Arabidopsis thaliana: one gene and its partner. The protein of the gene in region 2 interacts with the protein of the main gene of each other region in a biochemical or structural test. Each region holds a gene or a part of one and is shown on either strand. Other genes may lie near its edges.

Region 1 (5,365 bases), on a different chromosome or scaffold from region 2:
TTAAACTACCATTAAAAAGGGATTTTGTGTGTGTTTGTTGCTTTTGGGACCTATCAGATTGTGTTTCTGGCTGTAGACTTTAGAGACAATTAGTGTGTTTTTCTGCAACTTGAAACGCCCCTATATTGCTAGCATTTGTTTACTGGGAGAGTTGACTCAAACCGAAATTATCAATCCTTAAATCCATAACTTTGAACAATATCAAAAATAGTTAAAGTTAAGTTAATTAGAGTTTTTTAATTGCCGCTTGATTACAACTTTTTGGAACACATTCCGGTTTGCAATCTTCAAAACTCTCGAGATATCTAAGAATTTTGTAAATTATGATTTTATATGCATATGGAAGCCTTTAGGATTACCAATCACCTCAGCTTTTGTAAATTACAATATGATTTTATATAAATATTGTAAAAGAGACATTTAAAAAAAAATCCTATATAATGATAATTAAAAATCAGATAACGGTACTAGAAAGTATACGTAGTACATCATAAATTGGTGATACCGTTTTGGTATATAATCAATTTTTATTAGTTTTGATATTTGTAGTCATGCTTGTGGTTTGTGGTAAATCTCATAATGATCATTTTTGTTTTAGTTGGACGAATAAAGGTTGTGGTTGAGAAACAAACACGTATGCTGTGGGATCAATTCGAACCATTCATACGTGATACGTCGACTATAGCAACTAATAAGCATATTTTATTAACTACATTACACAATATTCTTGATTGACAGATACATAGATTTTATGTTTGAATTAATTAATCTTTCGTTATGTTATATTTAACAAAAACAATACACATTATTTGATATGTATTATATGACAAGATACGATTCCATGAATTTTCTAATATACATTACACATAAATTATAGAGCGTACGTCAAATCATAACATAAAATATTACTATATTTAACAAAACCCAACTCGATGGTCTTTGTCAATATCTCCCCATGCAACAAAATACGTACATCCCTCGTGCTTTCTAAGTTTCTATTTTTGTATTTTTGTTCCTCAAGTGAAATCCATATCCACTACTTTTCTAGTTGAAAAAAGTTAGAAGTTAAAATACAAGTAAATCCAGATTCACTTGTCAGCTCAATCCTAACATGTCTTTGAAAATGTGTGTCCGAAAACTTGTCAGCCCATTATTAAGTATGTGAAACAATACTTTAATTTGAAGTAATTAAGAAAAACAATACATTAAATCTACTTTTTTTCTCATGTAAAACTCTTTGACACCATTGGTAAAATCCAATCATTTATCTTCCGATCTTATTGACGATGTCATTAATTTGTTAATTGTATGATGGTTAATAAGTTTATCCAATGTATGTTTTTGTTTAATTTATTTATCCAATGTATTATTTTATTTTAACATACAATGCTAATCAAAATTTTAGTTTAAGTAATTAAGAGAGTCCTTTAAGAATAATAAAAAAATGTTGGTTTATAACAGAGAGTCCTTTAAGAATAATAAAAAAATGTTGGTTTATAACAGAGAGTCCTCAATGCAAATCAGATTGTTTTAAACCTGCACACAATCCAACAAAATCATCTCTTCTTGCTAAAGCTAATCATCTCAATTATCTCACAAGGTTCAACAATCGTATGAATGTGAAGTATATAGCCATACACCCCCATCTGTAATTAACGTGTCCGAACGGATTGTACATTAGAGCACCTCCAATGTATAGGATTCATATAGTTTCTAAAAAAACAAAAAGTATTAATATTTTATTTTTATATCCAAAAAACAAAAAAAAACAACCTATATGAATAATAGAAACGATCCTCCCAATTTTAGAGATTCTCTCTCATCTCTTTTTTAATTTATAATTTTTTTTTGTAATTGTATGAGTTTCTACTAAAAAACTACGGTTGGAGTTGGTTTTAGTTGCTACAAATATAGTAGCAAATGTGTTTTAAATCGGAATCTTAAAAACGTATAGTAGTGCTAAACGTCTACGTACAAAATACGAATATTGAACGTATAAAAAAAAACACTTTCTGAAATCTGCAGGTTAGAAAATTATTTAAGAGATCCAGTTGCAATGTGAGTAGTATACTAGTACTGTTGTATTAATAAGTCCTAATCGAATTAAGACCATATCATTATAATTCCTTTCTTTTGTGGTCACGGGGGTAACATTATTTTTCGATTATTCTCCATTGATTGGCAAAGATTCATTATCCAAATATATAAATAAATCAGTTCACACACACAACAACTGGCCAATGACTCAAACTGGAACCCACTCACATTGATCAGATCATAACACTTTTAGCTTCAGAAAAAAAAAAAAAAACAGCTATCAAACATATCGTCTTGTTACTCTATTTATACCCTAATTCCACATATCTACACACAAGCAATAAAGAGAGAAAAAAATATAAAGCTACCAAAGAGAAAATGGTGACACTAACACCATCTTCTGCTAGTACCCCAAAAACATCTTTTGATTTCATGAAGAATAACAACAGTCACAGCAGTCTCTATGTTTCTTCTTCTTCTTACTTGAGCAGCAAGGAAGATGCTCTTGTCACGACCAAGAAGCTCATGGAACCAAGCAAAACACTAAACATGAGCATTAATCCAAAACAAGAGGAGTTTGGTGATGAGAAGAAAATGGTGAAGAAAGCTCCTGAAGATCCAGAGATTGGTGTGTTTGGAGCTGAGAAGTACTTCAATGGAGACATGGATTCAGACCAAGGTTCTAGTGTTCTGTCTCTGACAAACCCAGAAGTTGAGAGAACCGTCGTCGACTCGAAGCAGAGCGCGAAGAAATCTACTGGTACTCCGAGTGTCCGGTCTGAATCAAGCTGGAATAGTCAGAGCGTGTTGCTTCAGAACAAACTGGTGAATAGCTGCAACAGTTCCTTCAAGGAAAAGAAGAACAGTAATGGTCAGATTCAAAAGGTGACCAATAATAAGAAGAGTTTTCTCGCAAATTTGGGGTGTAAATGCGCATGCTCTGATGGGGATTCTGTAGATGTCGAGGAGAAAACCTCGGTCAAGAGAAGCGCTGATCCGAATATCTCTGTTATCACAATGAGATCTTCTGCGGATATGAACACAGAACTGATCAAGATTCAGAAGCAAGAGGAGTTATCACAGAGGAAGTCTCTTGAAGTTTTTGGATCTCCAGTGGCTATTGAGAAGAAGAGTAGTGTTGTTCAGAAGAAACTACCATTGCCTCCATGGAAATCGAGAACAGAGGAGGACGACACAAAGAGTGAAGGGAGTGATTCAAGCTCGGATCTTTTCGAGATAGAGGGTCTTACAGGGAACCCTAAACCTTTTCTTACGAGGCAAGGAAGTGATCCAGCTTCACCTACGTGTTATGCGCCAAGTGAAGTAAGCGTAGAGTGGAGCATAGTGACAGCAAGTGCAGCAGATTTCTCTGTTATGTCAGAATGTGCAACAAGTCCTGTAAGAAGAAACCGACCTACTCAGATTCCTCGAATCCCTATTACCGCTAAATCAGCACCGCAGAGACGGAAATCGAGTAGCAGCAGCGGAGGGAATGGTTTCTTGATGAGCTGCAAGAGTCATAAATCTGTTATGGTTTCTGGTGATTTAGACAGAAGAAGCAGCATGAACAAGACACAACCGAGTTACGTTCCTAGATTCCCAATGGAGACTACTAAACCTAAGAGTTTCGAAACACGAAGAAGGATCAGCAACAGCTCGATTTCTCACACACAATCATCTCTTCTTTATAGTCAGTGATTGCAAGAAAGTAAAAGAAAAAGATTTCAATCTCTGATCTCTCTTTATCTATAATTTCTACTGAGTGAGAAAGATATGTAAACTTATAATAATGTCTTGTTGAGTCCATGATCAAATCAATTTAAAAGGGTTTCTTAGAGACCTTTTGCACCTAAGAAAAAGTTACTCAAAGAGTGACAAATGATTGGAGAGTGAAAACAAAACATTATGGTCAGTTAAAAACACAGATCTCAAATTCAGCAAAATAAGCAGAGAGACATTCCAAAAATTGGCTCCACCAAGTTTTACCTTTTTTGGATTTAGTCTCAAGACTCAAGAGAGAGAGATATGAGTTTTGTCTTAGCTTGAAAGGGTTAAATCAAACGTACACTAGATTGACAGAAAGAGCTATTAATGAGGAAACTTAAATCAATGAAAGTGTCATATTACCTAACATATCTAAGATCTGGTCCTGAAACTCATCTAAAGGCCATGTATATGTCTGAAATAAAAGTAAGGTAGACAAAACCTTAATTGCTAGTTGACAATATGAGAGAAAAGAACCAAAGTGCCTTACTAAGACAATAAATGCAAAGAAAGATCAAAGATGTTTGTCTCTGTAGCCTACTCATAAGGGAAATGATCGAATTTACCCCAAATGATCTTATCCAGTTCACTGATATTTCTCTGTAAGATATTTCAAAAAGGGCTAATTAGATTTCAAGAAAAGACATAAATGAAACCAAGATGATGACATCAAAGCTAGTATAGCTAGTATGGGCTTAAAACCAAGAAACATACAGATCTTGAAGATAAGTATTGTACCCTTCTCAAAAGATATGAGAAAATAATTGACCACACTATATATAAAAATCTAATCATCTAACTACTTAGTTTTCATATGTGGATGAGAGAAGAACAACAAAAGCAAGAAGACATTTTGTGTTAAGAAAGCAAAACAAGATTACTCATCTTTGAATTCTTTGGTTGGACATTGCCTCAAAGCATCCGCTTGCTCTCTTTCGTCAAGTGAATAAAGGCAAGTTGGTAATGAGATGAGACTCTGATCCCACATGACAAAAAATGGCTGAGAGAAGTTTCTATTTAATTCCATAGAGTTTGTGGTGAAACATTCACTGTCTTGATGTGAAAGGGGTTCGTTCCTCAGGAGCCCACCAAGAGAAGGAGAAGAGTCTTGTGTGGTCGTTTGCTGCATCTCCATTACTTCATGTTACCAAAAGAATACAAAAAAACCCCAAACATAGGTTCAGGAACAGATGATGATTATAGAAATAACAATCTTATATTATCTGACAACAAAGTGGTAACAGTACATCAAAACTAGGATTCTTGACTGTCTCTAGCTATGTGTCAGTTCCTAATATCTTCCACAGAGAGAAGGAAATAATGATCATATGCCAACATAAAGAAAATCAAATCTTTTTAAAGCACCCCTAAGTGTATCATAACATGAGAAAAATAAACCTTTAAAGGAAAGATCACTCGATTTTCACAAAGATAACAATCACAGTGCTCTGCCTCTGATTACCAAGTAACGTTTAATGTTCAATTGCCCCGAGTGAAACCATTACCAGTTATTTCAAGAAGATCATAAACTCTACACTCTTTTTTGAAGAACCCATTGTTTAGA
Region 2 (7,850 bases):
TAACCAGTGTCATTATCCCATCTTGAATCTTGATTTGTCTAGGGGTTAATTTAGAAAATGGGAGAATTTAAGCGGCCAATATGTGAAGATTGATGTAAACTAACCAGTGTCATTGTCCCATCTTGAATCTTGATTTGTCTAGGGAAGAAAAAGGGGTCAATTTAGAAAATGGGAGAAGTTAAGCGGCCAATATGTGAAGATTGATGTAACATTTTCAGCCCCCACCACACACTCAAACCCACAATGGACACATGATGGATAAGATTATAACCCGTTAAGATCTTTTTTTCTCTTTGATCAATCTTCACATGGGTTCTGGTCCTACTTGTATATGAAATGTTACCATACTCTCCTCTTTGTATTATACCCTTCACAAATTTTGTCCATAGGGTTTCCGACAAAAGGGTTTGAATCTGAACTGTTCTGATATTTTTAACCAAGCCTGATAGTGATCGTGATCGCTTGGGATGACCAGTCTGTAGTGGCAGATCCATTTTTGTTACCGGGATCATAATATAACTTTTAAGAGAAAAAAATGTTACTGAATTTGAGTGTAGTGGGGTCATTATATTAATACCAAATTTTACAAATGATGATACTGTTTTTTTTTTTAACAATATTTACATGCAATTAAAAAATATTTAGTTATTCAATCTGAGACGTATCGGCGCTATGCCATTGCTAGTCTATATTTGTTACACCGTTAAACTAGTTACACATTGCTTTTTAGAATATGCAAATGATCAAATGCATGGTTGTTTAAGGTTGGATTTTTATTTTTTTATCCAAAGTTTAAGGTTGTATTTGTGCCCATGATTTGATAGCATACCAAATCGATTGGGTTAACAACTGCTATATATTCTTGCAATATATTTTGTTTATGCATCGTAATGTATAGGGAAGTTATCTGCTAATTAATAATTAGAGTGATTTTTGGAAAACAAAATAGAGACAGAATTAATAAAACCATTTTAAAGAGAGAAAGTTTTGACAAAAAAAAAGCGAGAGAAAGTTTTGATAAATCAACCAAAAATGCATATAACAATGACATGTGATTGCTTTTTAATTTGTTTGTGATTTCTGTACCGATCTCCATGTTCGATTTCATCACTAAATCGGATAAAAGTGTATGTTCTTCTTTAATGTTTTTGCATGAAATATCTTGCAATGCATAAAGACTGAGATTTCTACCATTACAAAAGTGGAAAGAGAACATCTATGTAATATTGGGTCTCTGCATTTGCATTTGGGAACGGTTTTGGCGTTTTCAAATGACAACTCACTCCCACTTATAGTCACTGACACACACAGAAACTTTTAAAAGAACAACCATCACTCCACACACTTATGTGTTCTTCAAATGTTTTATTTATCATTTACTTCAATTATACGCACAAGTTACAACAAGCAAGTTTTTTTGTGCAATATTCTCTTTTATAATCCTGTTTGTCCTATACCAAAACCTAGATTAATCACTGTCAAACCAACATCATAAAATTGTTGGTTAAGTCATATAAACCATTCGTTTCCAATAAGTGCCATAGAAATTGAATATTGAGCATAGTCAGAATATATATTTATGTTTGGTCTGGTTTTGTTTGACAAAGAGAGTATATTCAGGTTTATAATCTAATTATCAAGACAGAGTTATACAGAAGATAGATAAACGATACTAGTGTTACGTTTCTATACAATCTTTTGAAAGTAAACAAAAGAAGCCATGTGGAATCAAAAACATTCGAAGCATGGGAAGATCAAATAATCCAGTGATGGAGCTAGAACGGAACTAAATCAATCATGAAACCTAAATAGTTTTTTAATCTTTCTAGAATCTCTTCTTATCAAAAAATTTCCTTATTTGTATAAAAAGCCTCGGGAAAGTTAACTTCTCATCCCAAACTCATTCCTCAGTTTATCTCTCGACTAGAGAGTGAAGGAAAAATCGAAGGATAATCTGTTTCTTCCAGCACAAGTTAACTTGCAAGGTAGTTTTCTCCCTTCGATTTATACTGTCTTGCTCACTTTCTTAGGCTATTTTTAGGACGATTCATTTTTTTAATTTGTATGTTATTCATCTTTTTAGGGTTCTTGTCACATTTTCGGCCTTAATTTGTATGTGTAAAAATATAAATAGTGAAGTAGATATCATTTTATATCGTCTAGCACTCTAGCTACTAGCTTGATCTGAAACTAGTATATATATAAATTATTTGAATGTCAGCTTTTTTTTGTGAAAGTCACACATCACATGGTAGTTGCATATTTCAAGAACTCAACTGAATTCGATTTAAAATTTCTCCAATCATAATTCATAAAGATATGTATTTCAATTTTTTTAAATAAAAATAGATTTTCCTATTTACCATGAAATTTTTTACTCTTTTTATTTGTTCTCATATAAATAGAGTGATAAACTATTTTACAAAGTTCATTTATGTGGAAATTGATAAAATGACAAGAACATGAAAAAAAGACAAAGATTTTTAGTTGAAATCTGTGATCGATCGAACAGAATCGGTTCAGCTACTGTTTTTGTAATAGAACAACTGTCCATTTTTATACCAAAATGACTAAACCACCCTTAGAAGATGCATGTGTTGTGTGGTACTAAAAACTCAAAAAAGCATTGAAACTTTACACCTTTGTGTCGTTTTCTCAATTTTACCCCCGCTTCATTTGGAATTGTCACTCTCAAAATTGGCGTATTTTCCAGTTCATATCTTCATTCATCTATGGCCCCATAAACCATAACTCTTTGAACCATATTTAATAATGTTACCTGCATGCATATACATTCATATAAAACATGTATTCATTATCATGTTAGATATGTCTAGTCTATTATTTCCCAAAAGAAAGACACCTAAGAGAGCAAGATTCTTGTTATTCATGATAACATTTTTGAAGATTCAAAAAAAATGAGTGATTGATGAATTATTTATGGTCAGCATCTAGTAAAATCATATCGACATATCCAGTCAGCCTTAGTAGAAATGCACCAAAGTGATATAGAGTGGATTTCTCTCGATCCGTGTAGAAATGGACCACCACATTGTCTGTTTAGAATATTATATTTTTTTGTATAAAATTGTAGACATAATCTCTTATTAATAAATATTTAATGCAAGTTAGTTATTTTTAATTTTATGAAAAGAGGTTAACTCCAATATGTACCATACTACTTGAAGAAGTTAAATGACAAAAAAAAATATAAGTAATACTACCATTTCCATATATTGTACTGATATTTCAAACTTTAATCAACTTTCCTTTCTATTTCTCCTTCTTTTTTTATGGTCAAACCCATTCTGTTTATGACTAAACATATGACATATCTAACCGTTATTAATTAGTTCACATATCACATATTTGTATAGTGTTTTCATTTTCAGTAATCAAACCATCCATCTACCACAAAAGAACTTGGTCATGTGTCCATTTTTAGAAATCAATAAAATATTATACCATATATTTATAGTATCTAACTTTAAGAGAATAAATATTTTTATTTGCCGATTCATATACACACACATGCGTGTGGTATCTATGTCTATCCATTAAACTAATTATATATAAACTTATTTTCTGGCCACAATTTTTGTTTCGTGTATAGAGAGAGCTCAAAGATGGAACCAACAGAAAAACCATCGACCAAACCATCTTCTCGGACTCTACCTAGAGACACTCGTGGCTCTCTCGAAGTATTCAACCCGTCAACTCAGCTGACCCGACCCGATAACCCGGTGTTCCGTCCTGAACCACCAGCGTGGCAAAACTTGAGTGATCCACGTGGCACCAGTCCTCAACCCCGACCACAACAAGAACCAGCTCCATCCAACCCTGTTCGGTCTGATCAAGAAATCGCTGTCACGACCTCATGGATGGCTCTGAAAGACCCATCACCGGAGACAATCTCCAAGAAGACGATCACCGCCGAGAAACCACAGAAGTCGGCGGTGGCGGCTGAGCAGAGAGCGGCAGAGTGGGGATTGGTTTTGAAGACCGATACAAAGACGGGAAAGCCACAAGGAGTAGGCGTGAGGAACTCTGGTGGAACTGAGAATGATCCTAACGGGAAAAAGACTACATCGCAGAGAAACTCGCAAAACTCTTGCCGGAGCTCCGGTGAGATGTCGGACGGAGATGTTCCCGGCGGGAGGAGTGGGATTCCAAGAGTATCGGAAGATCTAAAAGATGCGTTGTCGACGTTTCAACAAACGTTTGTGGTCTCAGATGCTACAAAACCTGATTATCCGATTATGTATGCAAGTGCTGGTTTCTTCAATATGACTGGTTACACTTCCAAAGAAGTCGTCGGCAGAAACTGGTAAAAAGTTATTCAAAAAATTTTAGAGCATTTTTTTAATATATAAAATACGTTTCGTTTTCTGTAATAATTACCAAAATTGCAAAGTTTTTTCTAATTAAATATCATAGTTTTGTTTTTAGGTTTATGGTTACTATAAATGTATAAAGATATCTTAAATGACTTAGTAATTCTTTCTAAATTTTCAAAAATTAAACCTAACTTTATTTTATTTTTTTAGAACTTTTCGAAACTGTGTACCAAAATTACAAAGATTAAGTTTTAGGTATGGTTATCCTAAATGATTTAGTAACTCTTACTAAATTTCTAAAAACTTTTTATAAACCTAATTTTTATGTTGTTTTTCCAAACTAATAGCCTTTTATAAACTAAGTTTATTTTTTAATGATAACTTAAAATATTTCTTTTAAATCGAACATTTCTTTGCAAATTCGAAAAATTTCTTACAAAAGTTTCCACCATTTTTTGTTCAATGAATGAATTTTATTTACAAAAAGAAAGAAGAAAAGAACATAATTTGGGTTTTTGTTTTATTGTAGCCGATTTTTACAAGGATCAGGTACAGATGCAGATGAGTTAGCAAAGATAAGAGAGACATTAGCTGCTGGTAACAATTATTGTGGGCGTATATTGAATTACAAGAAAGATGGGACCTCTTTTTGGAATCTTCTCACGATTGCTCCCATTAAAGACGAGAGTGGCAAAGTCCTCAAATTTATCGGGTTAGTCCCTTATTCCTTTTTATTTACTCGTTTCTCTCCTTTATTTCTTTCATTCAAAATGTCACCCTTTTTAATGGGTCTAAGTGTGGACCTGTGATTTGTGTTGCTTTCTCCGCAATAATTCAAAGATTTGTATCACCGACGGATCCTATTGTAGAATAACAAAAGAGAATAATCAATCAGGAAAAAGAAAAGAATTATAGAATCTGATAAAAAAATATGATTTTGAGGAAAAATCAGAAGATACCAATATGTTTTGTTTATTTGGACCAGAATGCAAGTGGAGGTGAGCAAGCACACTGAAGGGGCCAAAGAAAAGGCTTTGAGGCCCAATGGGCTTCCGGAATCTCTGATTCGATACGATGGTATTTACATACTTTCTTTTTCTATTTGTTTTTCCAAATTTTTTTCCATTTATTATGTTTTCTTAAAAATATTTTCAAATTTTGTTTTGTAAAAGCCCGCCAAAAAGATATGGCGACAAACTCAGTGACAGAGCTAGTAGAGGCGGTGAAGAGACCTCGGGCACTAAGCGAATCGACGAATCTCCATCCCTTCATGACAAAATCGGAGAGCGATGAACTTCCGAAAAAACCAGCTCGGCGAATGTCCGAAAATGTTGTTCCGTCAGGCCGAAGAAACTCTGGCGGCGGAAGAAGAAACTCGATGCAGCGAATCAACGAAATTCCCGAGAAAAAATCTAGAAAATCTTCCCTTTCCTTCATGGGGTAATAATCCTTACTAGATCATTTGTTTACCTGACAATTACTTTATAAAAATCGATTTAGTCTTTGATATGATTGTTGTGATACTCTGGTGATAGGATCAAGAAGAAGAGCGAATCTTTGGATGAATCTATAGACGATGGATTTATAGAGTATGGAGAAGAAGACGATGAGATTAGTGATAGGGACGAGAGACCTGAGAGTGTGGATGATAAAGTGAGACAAAAGGAAATGAGAAAGGGTATTGATCTAGCTACTACACTCGAACGTATCGAGAAGAATTTCGTCATCACTGATCCTAGGCTTCCCGATAATCCCATTGTAAGAACAAATGTTTTAGAAAAATGGAAACTTTTTTTGTTATGTTTCATTTCGATTGGTCTGAAAACGTATTGTTTGCTTTGTCCTATGTTTCTAGATTTTTGCATCTGATAGTTTCTTGGAGCTCACGGAATATAGCCGTGAAGAAATTCTTGGAAGAAATTGCAGGTATTACATGAATGTGATCTCAAAATGTCTTTTGAAAATATTTTTGAGCATAGAGCATGTGTTTATAAATTTTGTTTCATGGTTTTAGGTTTCTACAAGGTCCAGAGACTGATCTAACCACAGTGAAGAAGATTCGAAATGCTATTGATAACCAAACCGAAGTGACAGTTCAGCTCATCAACTACACCAAGAGCGGTACTCGATTTTTTCGATATTCTTAGATTAATCTGTCGATCATTGTATAAAGTTTTAAATTTACATTATATTCTCTGTGGCAGGAAAGAAGTTCTGGAACATTTTCCACTTGCAACCTATGCGTGATCAGAAGGTATAATGGTTTACATAGATATCTTGCATTATACGGCACCTTCAAACTAATCCTCAATTTCTTTTGGTTTATGAATTTAAAACTGAAGATGTCTATATTCTTTCTTTGATATGTTGTTGACAGGGAGAAGTACAATACTTTATTGGAGTTCAACTAGACGGGAGCAAGCACGTAGAACCAGTTCGCAATGTCATTGAAGAAACCGCAGTGAAAGAGGGAGAAGACCTGGTCTGGAATCCTAAACTATTGATCTTGATTTAGTATTCGTTTGATAGAAAATCAAGTATTAAACCTTAATCTATATTCTTTAGGTGAAAAAAACAGCTGTGAATATCGATGAAGCGGTTCGAGAACTTCCTGATGCCAACATGGTAAGTGATTGTCTAAGGATCTGAATATGATCATTTTAGATTAAGGTTTATTAGAATATATCTGACAGAATGTTTTATTGTGTCTTGTTTCTGAAGACACCAGAGGATTTATGGGCAAACCACTCAAAGGTTGTTCATTGTAAGCCTCACAGGAAAGATTCACCACCATGGATAGCTATCCAAAAGGTGTTGGAAAGTGGTGAACCGATTGGTTTGAAGCATTTCAAACCGGTGAAACCTTTGGGTTCTGGTGACACAGGAAGGTCTGAAACTCTATCTAATCTAATGAAATAGCTTACAAAAAAAAAGAACATTTCCTTCATTAATCTTATAATATCCCATTTGTGTTTTATCAGTGTGCATCTAGTGGAACTCGTTGGAACAGATCAGTTGTTTGCAATGAAAGCAATGGACAAGGCTGTTATGCTTAACCGAAACAAAGTAATTACAGTAACTTGCACTTCAAGGAATCTTGAGTTTCGCTTTTTATTTGTAAGTTTTGTAGCCACTGATATAATTTTTTGCAGGTACATAGAGCTAGAGCTGAGAGAGAGATCCTAGATTTGCTTGACCATCCTTTTCTTCCTGCACTCTACGCTTCTTTTCAGGTCAAAACCTCTGTTTACACATATATATATATATATATATATATATATATATATGCGTGTCTCTTTGGTCTTTGGTTACTAATGGATCATGTTTTATTCTGCAGACAAAAACACATATATGTCTTATAACAGATTACTATCCAGGAGGAGAACTCTTCATGCTCCTAGATCGACAACCTAGGAAGGTTCTCAAAGAAGATGCTGTAAGGTACAAGTGTTCCTCGCTCGAAAAAGTCTCAAGATTTCTTCACTTAAATATTGAACTAACAAAAACCCTGCA

What was found.
Region 1: the proteins of PHOT1 (region 2) and PKS1 form a complex in vitro, tested with the Arabidopsis thaliana proteins (one study listed by BioGRID).

The regions. Positions count from the first base shown.
Region 1 is NC_003071.7:853,519-858,883, reverse strand, and holds PKS1 (phytochrome kinase substrate 1), read left to right. Parts: upstream 1-2,158; 5' UTR 2,159-2,415; coding exon 2,416-3,735; 3' UTR 3,736-4,807; downstream 4,808-5,365. UniProt on the Arabidopsis thaliana protein: May be responsible for light-regulated cytoplasmic sequestration of phytochromes or may be a negative regulator of phytochrome B signaling. Component of the network that modulates the very low-fluence response (VLFR) branch of phyA signaling.
Region 2 is NC_003074.8:16,814,931-16,822,780, forward strand, and holds the start of PHOT1 (phototropin 1), read left to right. Parts: upstream 1-1,790; 5' UTR 1,791-1,985; intron 1,986-3,416; exon of another isoform or gene 3,417-3,613; 5' UTR 3,614-3,626; coding exon 3,627-4,327; intron 4,328-4,866; coding exon 4,867-5,049; intron 5,050-5,322; coding exon 5,323-5,414; intron 5,415-5,509; coding exon 5,510-5,777; intron 5,778-5,872; coding exon 5,873-6,095; intron 6,096-6,192; coding exon 6,193-6,263; intron 6,264-6,351; coding exon 6,352-6,458; intron 6,459-6,541; coding exon 6,542-6,591; intron 6,592-6,714; coding exon 6,715-6,819; intron 6,820-6,902; coding exon 6,903-6,962; intron 6,963-7,058; coding exon 7,059-7,225; intron 7,226-7,318; coding exon 7,319-7,403; intron 7,404-7,489; coding exon 7,490-7,570; intron 7,571-7,674; coding exon 7,675-7,778; intron 7,779-7,850. UniProt on the Arabidopsis thaliana protein: Protein kinase that acts as a blue light (BL) photoreceptor in a signal-transduction pathway for photo-induced movements.